Caenorhabditis elegans: one gene and its partner. The protein of the gene in region 2 interacts with the protein of the main gene of each other region in a biochemical or structural test. Each region holds a gene or a part of one and is shown on either strand. Other genes may lie near its edges. The genes, in order: chk-2 and him-8.

Region 1 (4,949 bases), on a different chromosome or scaffold from region 2:
TTTGAACTTTTTTCGAAATTTTTTGAAAAATATCGAATTTTCCCAGTTTTAGATCAAAATTTACGGTTTTAAACTAGAAAATTTGAATTTCCCATTCAATTTCACCCCCTGACCTCAAATTTCAGCTCATTAGTGCAATTTCCCGTCAAATCAGGTGTCAAGTCCGCAAACACCACGCTACAGTAACCCAAGACACCAGAATTGACGCGAAATTGCACTAAATCTCTGAAAAATGAGGCTTAGGGGTTTTTTGGCACGGAGAATCTGAAAATCGACTCGAAAATTGAAAAATTCAGAGTTGAAGTCTAGTTTTTTTCAAATTTTCAGAAAAATCTCGAATTTTCCTAGTTTTAGGTCGAAATTTGCGGTTTAAAACTAAAAAATTGGAATTCCCCATGCAATTTCACCCCCTAGCCCCAATTTTCAGCGTTTTAGTGCAAAATTCCGTCAAATCAGGTGTCAAGTCCGCAAACACCACGCTACAGTAACCCAAAACACCAGATTTGACGCAAAATTGCACTAAAACGCTGAAAAATGGGGCTTGGGGGTAGATTTCCGCGGGAAAGTTGAATTTTTAGGTTTTAAACTTGAAAAATTAACGGAAAACCAAAAAAAGTTAGGATTTTTGCAATTTTTCGGGAATTTTGTCGAAAAAAGGGGGTTTTGCCCATTTTTCTTCAAATTTTTCGACTTCTTCTCCGTTTTCTTTCGAATTTCTTCGATTGTAGCCAATTTTCCATCATTTTTGGCGCTTACAGCAGTGGAATCTGGTCACTGTCCTCCTCATTGACCTCCAGAAGCCACCCAAATCCACTATTCTCCATAAATTTTCCAGCGGCTCCAGCATTAGTACGACGATAAGCCTGAGCTGAAATTTGTCCAGTCGGGCTTGAAATTGAGCCGGAATCTGCAAAAAAAAATCGATTTTTTACGGAAATTTCTAGTTTTTTGGCCTAAAAATTCAGATTTTTCGTACTTGGCGCGTTAGATGACTGGTCCGGGTGCTCAAATTGCTCGAAATTCGACGAGTAAAAGCCATTTAAGTCGATAGAGACCTCCGGTTGCTTGACTCCAGTGCCCGGGTAGTCCATTTTCACCAAATTCTGAAAAAAAAACGGGGGTTTTAGGTGGTTTTCAGCGATTTTTTCGAGAAAAATATGAAGAAAATTCAAATTTTCGACAAATTTCATGCAAAAAATCCATTTTAAACAGGTTTTTACGTTAAAAACGTTTTAAAACCCGGAAAAACTGAATAAAATCCAAAAATTCATTGAAAAATTACGGTAGTTCTTAAAGGCGCAGTACTCGTTATCGATGGGTCTCGCCGCGATTTTAATGTTTTTTTGTGATTTTTTAATTTTTACTCAATTTTTGCAAGCTTTGGTTGTTTTTTTCACGATTTTCAAAAAACTTTACAAAAAATTTGAAAAAAAAATCGACTTTCCTATTGATTTTGAGTCTAAAACCAATGAAAAAGTCAATAAATTCGTTAAAAAAACTACGGTAGTTTTTAAAGGCGCAGTACTCGTTATCGATGGGTTTCGCCGCGTCTCGCCGCGATTTTCGTATTTTCGTATTTTATTTAGGATTTAGTTGTTTTTAATCGAATTTTCGCGCAATTTTCTTCGTTTTTTTCGCAATTTTCTCCATTTTTTCGCAATTTTCTCCATTTTTTCAGCGATTTCCATGGTTCGCGGGACAAAAAGACGTCGGAGCTCGGCGGAAAAGTAAAAAATCACCAAAATTTGCCCCAAAAATCGCAAAAAATTCAATTTTTTAGGCCAATCGTGGTGGTTCCGGTCACCCGAGACGACACGATGCCCGTCGACGAGGATCTTGTCGTCGGAGAATCACAGTGTGCTGCTTCAAAACCCTTCGCGAAGCTTGTCGGCGTCCGCCGAGGCATTTCTTCCATCGGTTTGTCGATTTTCCCGCAATTTTCACGAAATTCCGGCTAAAAATCGATTTTCCAGACTTGGCAGACGATCATTTCGTGTGCGGACGCGGCTCGGATGATGCTCCGACGAATTTCAACTTTTCTCAAGTCGCCAAAGACGTCGGGCTCTACAGATTTATCTCGAAAATTCAATTTTCCATTGATAGAGTAGTTTTCTACTGAAAAATCGCCAAAAAAATCAATATTTCAGGACACAGAAACGCGTAGAATCTATCTACACGATCACTCACGCAACGGGACCCTCGTAAATCAGGAAATGATCGGAAAAGGGCTGTCCAGAGAGCTAATGAACGGAGATTTGATCTCTATTGGGATTCCAGCGCTGATCAGTGCGTTTTTGACGATTTTAAAGCTTTAGGGTAAAATTGCCCAAAAAAACGGGTTTTTCCGCCAAAATCCGTCGATTTTTCCCAAAAAAACCCCGAAAATTTGCAGTTTTCGTGTACGAAAGCGCCGACGCCGACCATCATCCGGAGGAACTGACGAAAAAATACCACGTGACGAGCCATTCGCTGGGAAAAGGCGGTTTTGGCAAAGTTTTGCTCGGATACAAGAAATCCGATCGATCAGTGGTACGGGCGGCGTGGGAAAATGCCGAAAATTGGAGAAAAATCGATAAATTTCCAGAAAAATCGATAAAATCTCCGAAAATTGTGAATTTTCGCCAGTTTTGGTGCATATTCAGCCATTTTTTTTGCTGATTTTCACCTAAAAACCGCCAAAATTTACCGGAAACTTGTGAAAATTCAAATTTTCCTCTGAAAAATGCGATTTTTAACTGGAAAAACACATTTATCGATGAAAATTTGCCGAAAACCTTGAAATTTTCACGGAAAATCGATAAAAACCCTCAATTTTTGTGGGAAAAATCGATTTTCAGCCATTTTTTCCCGGAAAAATCATCAATTTTTCATGTTTCAGGTGGCTATTAAACAGCTCAACACACAATTTTCGACAAGATGCAGCCGAGCAATCGCTAAAACTCGAGATATTCGAAATGAGGTTGAAGTTATGAAGAAGCTCAGCCATGTTAGTAATACACGAAAATTGCTGAAAAATCGATTTTTACACGGAAAATTGCTGAAAAATCGAAATTTTCCGCATTTTTCGCTGAAAATTCACGAAATTCGATCAAAAAAGCATAATTTTAAGCGAAAATTGAAGTAATTTTGGTCAAAAATGCTCAAAAATGAGAATTTTCCAGTTTTTGGGCGCTGCTAACACTACAAACTACACATTTTTGGGCGCTCCTAATTCAATTTCAATGGTTTTTGGCCTATTTTCGAGCCATTTTTCACTAAAATTATCGATAAAAAGTGATTTTTCGCGTTAAAAATGCTCAAAAATGCCATTTTAACCCTAAAAATTCTAATTTTTCAGCCAAATATCGTTGCAATTTACGATTGGATCACCGTCGCCAAGTACTCATATATGGTTATCGAATATGTCGGCGGAGGCGAATTTTTCTCAAAAGTCGTCGATTCCAAGTACAATCGAATGGTAAATTGGCCGAAAAAATCCCGAAAATTTCCCTAATTTTTCCATTTTTTCAGGGTCTCGGTGAATCGCTCGGAAAATATTTCGCTTTTCAGCTAATCGACGCGATTTTGGTAATTTTTAGGTAATTTTTCGTCGCTAAAACCGCTCGTTTTTTTTCAGTATCTTCACTCTGTTGGAATCTGTCATCGTGACATTAAACCCGAAAATATTCTGTGCTCGGATAAAGCGGAGCGGTGCATTTTAAAGGTGAAAATTGGCAATTTCTTGGCTCAAAAAAGCTGAATTTTAGTCAATTTTCACCCGAAAAACCTCCAAATTTGCAGCTAACCGACTTTGGAATGGCGAAAAATTCGGTGAATCGAATGAAAACTCGCTGTGGAACGCCGTCTTATAATGCGCCGGAAATTGTGGCGAATGAGGGTGTTGAGTACACGCCAAAAGTCGATATGTTAGTAGAATCATCGGCAAAAATGACTTAAAAATTCGGAAATTTGAGCGAAAATCACTCTAAAATTGTGAAAATCGATAATAAATTCGAATTTTTCGTGGAAAAATCACTAAAATCGATGGAAAATGAAGTTTCTCCACAAATTTTGGCAGAAAAATTGAAATTTTGAGCCAAAAACTACGAAAATTAAAGAAATTTTAGCTTTTATGCTGAAAATCGGATAAAAATCCCATTTTTCAAGAGATTACAGCCGAAAAAAATCAATATTTCCCCGAATTTTGTCAGTAAAAATGGAAAAATTGGAAAAAAACTATCAAAAAAACCGGAAATTTGGTCAGAATTTATTAAAAATTCATGTTTTTCACAATTTTTGACTAGAAATTGCCCAGAAAATCTCAGTTTTCGGTGGTTTTTCACCGAAAAATCGAGTTTTTCGATGTTTTCCCTTCAAAAATTGGAAATTTGGCAAAAAAATTGAGATTTTTCATAATTTTTCACGAGAAAATGCCAAAAAATCTAATTTTCAGCCACAATAATCGAAAAAAAAAAGATTTCCGACGATTTTAGAGTCAATTACACATAATTCCCCGGTTTTTTGAATTTTTTTCGGCGAAAAACTCTAATTTTCAGCTAAAAATCGATAATTTTTGGTGAAAATGAATCAAAAATGGAGATTTTCGTGAAAAATCCGATTAAAAACGTGTTTTTTTCAAATTTTTCATCGAAAATTCGGAAATTTGCTCAAAATTTGGCTAAAATTCAGTAAAAAAACCGTTTTTTCCTGGAAAAATGAGCCGAAAATCAATAATTTCAGTGGAAATTTCAGAAATTTGTGTTTTTTTTAATCAATTTTCAGTCGAAAAATGGATATTTCCCGATATTTTGCCACTGAAAGCGGAAAAATTGGAAAAATCTCTCAAAAAACCCGGGATTTTGGTCAGAATTTATTAAAAAATTCAGGTTTTTCATAATTTTTGACTAGAAATTGTCCAGAAAATCTTAAATTTCGACGGTTCTTCGCCGAAAAATCGAGTTTTTCGGTGT
Region 2 (4,669 bases):
GGTTTGCTTAATCCAAGTACCTACCTAACCTTTGCCTAATTTTGACAACTTCTGAACAAGTTAATATGTTTTGACAAATTTGGCACATAGTTGTCGGGGAGTCAGCCGAAAAATTCTTAGAAGGGATAGTATTTGAATAACATCAAAAGGTCATTTAAAATTGTTTCCAATTCCAATTCGCAATTTCATAGAATGCAACGCAAATTTTGCAAAGAGCCGACATGAAACTCATCATAAATTCCTATCCATTTTCACGCCGGTCGCTCATAATAATTGAACCGCAACAGCCTCACTACGCTCACTCCAATTATAATAAATGAAGCGATTATCGAAATAGTTGACCGAAGAGGGGGAACTTTTCCATTAAAAAATAAGACCGGTAAATAATGGAAAAAAAGAGAAGGTAAAAAATTGCTTCATCTCTGTGTATATAATGATGAATATCCGTTTTTATGAGCGCGTCTCGTATCGAAAAAAAGAAGTGGTGGAGGAAGAAGTTTTTATAGGTCCGGTGTGTCTTTTTATGGGTATCGTGACGCTTTAGGCGCCGAATTTGTCGTAAAAGTACGATGAGGAATCTGTGAGAACATCAAACAGCATTGAAAGAATTTTATTCATTAACCCTTGTATTACCTGATTGTAGAGATTTATATCATTTTAAACAATTTGAAGCGCCAGATCTTAAATTTCCATTTTCTGAGCCAAAGTTTTACTAATCTCGAGCTGATTATCAATAAGATTTTATTAATGACACAAACTTTGTAGAAATATGACATAAACCGAATTATATTAAAATTTCGAGATTCGTGCTGTAGGCATGTATAATGTATGAAGTATGCAATATGCCGATATTTACAAAATAAAACGGCTGTGAACTTGCAAAGTTCTAGATGCCACTTCTCTTGGACTTTGACTTGACCCGGCTACGGCGGCTGCCATTTTGAGATTTTGGAGGATTTTTTCGTTTGTTCATCTCGACCAATTGATCTGAACAATTGACTTTCAACTGAATTATGAAACAGAATTTTCAGTTTCCAATCCATGTTTGAAATTAAATTGAACAATTTGGCCTACAGTAAATGAATTTTTTGAGTCGATTTTTATCAAGAAGATTTTAAAAATTTAAAAATTAGAGCAAATCTAAAAAATCAAAAACCATATGGATGTAAAACTATAATTTTTAACTTGATACTTACCTGCGAAACAAGCATTCATAATTTTTTGGAATCCTTTATTTTTGGTTGGCAAGCTGAAAAATTTGCAATTTGTTGAAATATTTTAATTTCAGAAAGTTTACCCAGACACTCCGAAGCCTTCCATTTTTGATGTTGAGTGAAAAATGCGATAGTGATAACGCATTTGACGGATTGTATGACAAGTGTGCTTGCATTTTTTGCATTTCAGAAAGTTTTTATCGCAATGGACCAATGCGTGATCGATAAGACGAAGTTTTCCATATTTCCTCTTCCACGCAATTGCTCGATTGCAGTTCTGCAACAATCCAGGTAATGGAAAAAAACAAACAGAAAATTTAACTCACCGGGAAATGACATTGAATATTGTGGATTTCATCTTTATTAATCTCGTCGTTTTTGCTGTCTGGAGATTTCATTTCATTCTCATTCAACTGATCTTCATCACCGGATTCGTTGTGATAATCGAAAAATGTAGGACTTCGTAATGGAGTCATCACTGTGGTTCGATCAACATCCATCAATTCTGTTTCATTCATAATAACATCATCATTCGGTGGTAATGACTGATACTCTTCATAATCATCAATATTTCCATCGTTGTCTACACCGTCTTGGAGAAACTCCGACTGTCCAGATGATACAATCGGCGAATTAATACTGAAAAAAAAACGAAATTTAAATTCTTGTGACTAACGGTACCCGGTCTCTCGGCAACCGTTTTTTTTCAGGTTCAAAAGAATGCACCTTTAAGGAGTACTGTAGTTACTAACTTTGTTTTTGCAGAATCCGCATTAATTTTTCCTAGTTTTTCCTCCGTTTCTTCAAAACTTGATGTATTTTAATATACATGATTCAACAAAAAAAATCTGGGAACCACAGTACTTTTTAAAGGCGCACACTTTTTTGAATTAAACTAAAATCGATCTCTAGGGTAAAAATTACAAAATTTTGCATATGGGTAATGTCTAAAACAGGTTCGAAGCTTTGAAAAAACAAGTGAATGAATTTTTAATTTGGACTACGAGAAAATATTCAGCGTAATTTAAGATTCACTGCTAAAAGAGTTTAAATTATTGAAAAAAAAATTTTGTATTAAAAAAAAACGTACTCGTCTCCATCTGCAATATTCGTCGTATGATTGGAAACAACATCTTCGATTATCATATCCATAACTTTTTCCACACTATTATTACTTTCATGTGAACTATTTAGTTCTTCTTCTGGTTCTTGATCATAGCTTTCCTTCAAATCTTCGTTCTCGTCGTTCGGTCCAATTTCGGATATTTTTTCCGAAAGATTCAGTGTGAATTTTTGATATAATCCTACGTTTGGAACGATTGGAGTGGAGAAACGAGGAGTATCGACTGTAGCAGTGTTGATTGAAGATATCGACGTGCTCTCGGTGAGGGAAACAAATGAGCTGCCACCGGCGAATTCATTCTGTAAATCGTAATAGTTTCAAAAACGAATACTCAGCAATGAAAAAAAGATAGGCTTACCAAATATTCAATCAATCCATAATGTTTCAAGTTTTCCAGAGTTTTTCCATAGATTCTGATATTAACAAACGAATTTAAAGAATTTCCATTCATTTATCGTATCTGAAAAAATAATTATTAAACATTTAAATAGGGTCGAGCAACAAAAATAAAGGGAATCACAGCATTAAATATTCAAATTAAAAACAAATAATCTCGTTTTACACGAGGGCCTAGTTTTCCCTCATTCTGCTGTTGCTGCACCATATCGTGCCAGAAGACCCATTTACATGCATGTCATCTGTTATTTCATAATAATCTGGCATGCATCTTTGAAATTAGAAAATTTTCATATTTTAACAAGATATTGACGAGCCTTCTCGTATTTTTTCCGATGGGTCTCGCCGCACAAAAAGTGTATGGTAAATAGGTTTAAACCTAGGTTTTTTTTCAATTTTTTGCTGCTACGCTTTTCTTGTATTTTCAAGAAAAAATCACTTAGTTTTTAGCGAAGTTTGTCGTTTTCTACTCATTTTCCTGTTTAAAATTGTTTTAGATCAGTTTTTTCCATAGTACAATTAACATTTATGATCAAAAATGCATGTTTTACACGAAGAAGGATATTAAAAAAATTTAACAGAAAAATGCAAAGTTAATAAGAAAATTAGCAAAAAACGAAGTAATGTTTTTAAAAAAGGAATGAAGCAGCCGAAAAAGTTAAAGAAAAGTACCATAAACTTTTTGCGCCTCGATGCCCATCTGAATAACTCCGTGTGCCTTTAAGAAGGTATATTAAAATTTAGTGATATCACATATATACAGAACTGAATTTAATAGTCAAAAAAGGTATTATAGATGAAAAACTCGCGGACAAAAAATTTACAAAACAAGTTATTTTTTAATGAAAAACATATTTTATAAGTTTATCTCGACAATAACAAACAAAAAACAAAACAAAACAATGAAACTATTACTAAAAAACATTGCAAATGTTACATGAGTTGACAAATAACACATTGTGCAGAGTCGTAGCGAAAGACGATCAGCGAATTCTGCGAAAACTAAACTTCAGAATAAAATAAAGTATATGGAAAAACCTACTAGAAAAGATCGTGTGATGGTCCTGGAGAGTCTTTATCTACATTCTCATTGTCGACTTCTGGAGTATTTTTCAGCGAGTTTTTACATTTTTTATATCTCCGCGGTTTCCCAATATTTCCGATGATGGAAGAATGTGCTGTAATTACACATTGAATATCAATATTTCATATCTGTCTAATACCTCCGAAGCACTTTTGGAAAAGATCGAAAATCGCCACTTCATCAAATTCGATATTGAACACTCTGAAATAATCGTGTTTTATATAATTTATTGAACAATTGACGGCTTACTTCTGAATATTAAACCCATCACACCTCACTTCTGGATGCATTTTTTGATAGTGATACTTCATTTGGGGATGTGTACTGCAAGAGTATTCACATGTGCGACAAACGAGACACTTTTCATTTTCATGAGTCATTGCATGATCCAGAAGTCGTTGTTTGCCGTATCGAAGTTTCCACGAGAGAATTTGCTTACAACCCTGAAAATAGCTTCTTTTTTTTAAATGTTGTCATATTTCCTGAACATCCTCCCTAAGAAATGGCTCAGATCGGAACTTACTTCGAAATTACATTTAATAATATGATTTTTATTCATTTGCTCGTTTCGCTTGTTAAGACGTTGGACAACTGGAACAGCAAACGAAACTTTTTTCGTCGAAGGAATCGGGCTCTCATCCTCTTCATCATCTTCACTGTTTTCCTCATTCTGCTGTTCTGCCTCATCAATTTCTGTTCCAACTTCTTCATAATTTCCGATCAGCACAGTATCCTCATCATCGAAATCATATTGAAACTCTCCCATGGTATTATGCTGCAAAATATTCAATTAAAAACGAAAATCTCATCATGTTGCGACAATTTACAAATTAGAAATAAAGGAAATCTCTT

What was found.
Region 1: of the proteins of him-8 (region 2) and chk-2, one has a biochemical effect on the other in vitro, tested with the Caenorhabditis elegans proteins (one study listed by BioGRID).

Annotation. Positions count from the first base shown.
Region 1 is NC_003283.11:19,912,711-19,917,659, reverse strand, and holds the start of chk-2 (Serine/threonine-protein kinase chk-2), read left to right. Parts: upstream 1-1,636; 5' UTR 1,637-1,686; coding exon 1,687-1,727; intron 1,728-1,780; coding exon 1,781-1,917; intron 1,918-1,973; coding exon 1,974-2,104; intron 2,105-2,147; coding exon 2,148-2,286; intron 2,287-2,392; coding exon 2,393-2,529; intron 2,530-2,878; coding exon 2,879-2,986; intron 2,987-3,337; coding exon 3,338-3,457; intron 3,458-3,510; coding exon 3,511-3,567; intron 3,568-3,616; coding exon 3,617-3,703; intron 3,704-3,780; coding exon 3,781-3,905; intron 3,906-4,949. Other genes in the region: Y60A3A.19 (Protein YIPF), read right to left, coding at 757-907, 977-1,091. UniProt on the Caenorhabditis elegans protein: Serine/threonine-protein kinase which is required for checkpoint-mediated cell cycle arrest, activation of DNA repair and apoptosis in response to the presence of DNA double-strand breaks.
Region 2 is NC_003282.8:10,560,033-10,564,701, reverse strand, and holds him-8 (C2H2-type domain-containing protein), read right to left. Parts: upstream 2,798-4,669; 5' UTR 2,789-2,797; coding exon 2,696-2,788; intron 2,637-2,695; coding exon 2,305-2,636; intron 1,854-2,304; coding exon 1,541-1,853; intron 1,492-1,540; coding exon 1,298-1,491; intron 1,250-1,297; coding exon 1,197-1,249; intron 988-1,196; coding exon 887-987; 3' UTR 728-886; downstream 1-727. Other genes in the region: zim-3 (C2H2-type domain-containing protein), read right to left, coding at 3,717-3,735, 3,776-3,911, 3,957-4,018, 4,067-4,260, 4,341-4,592.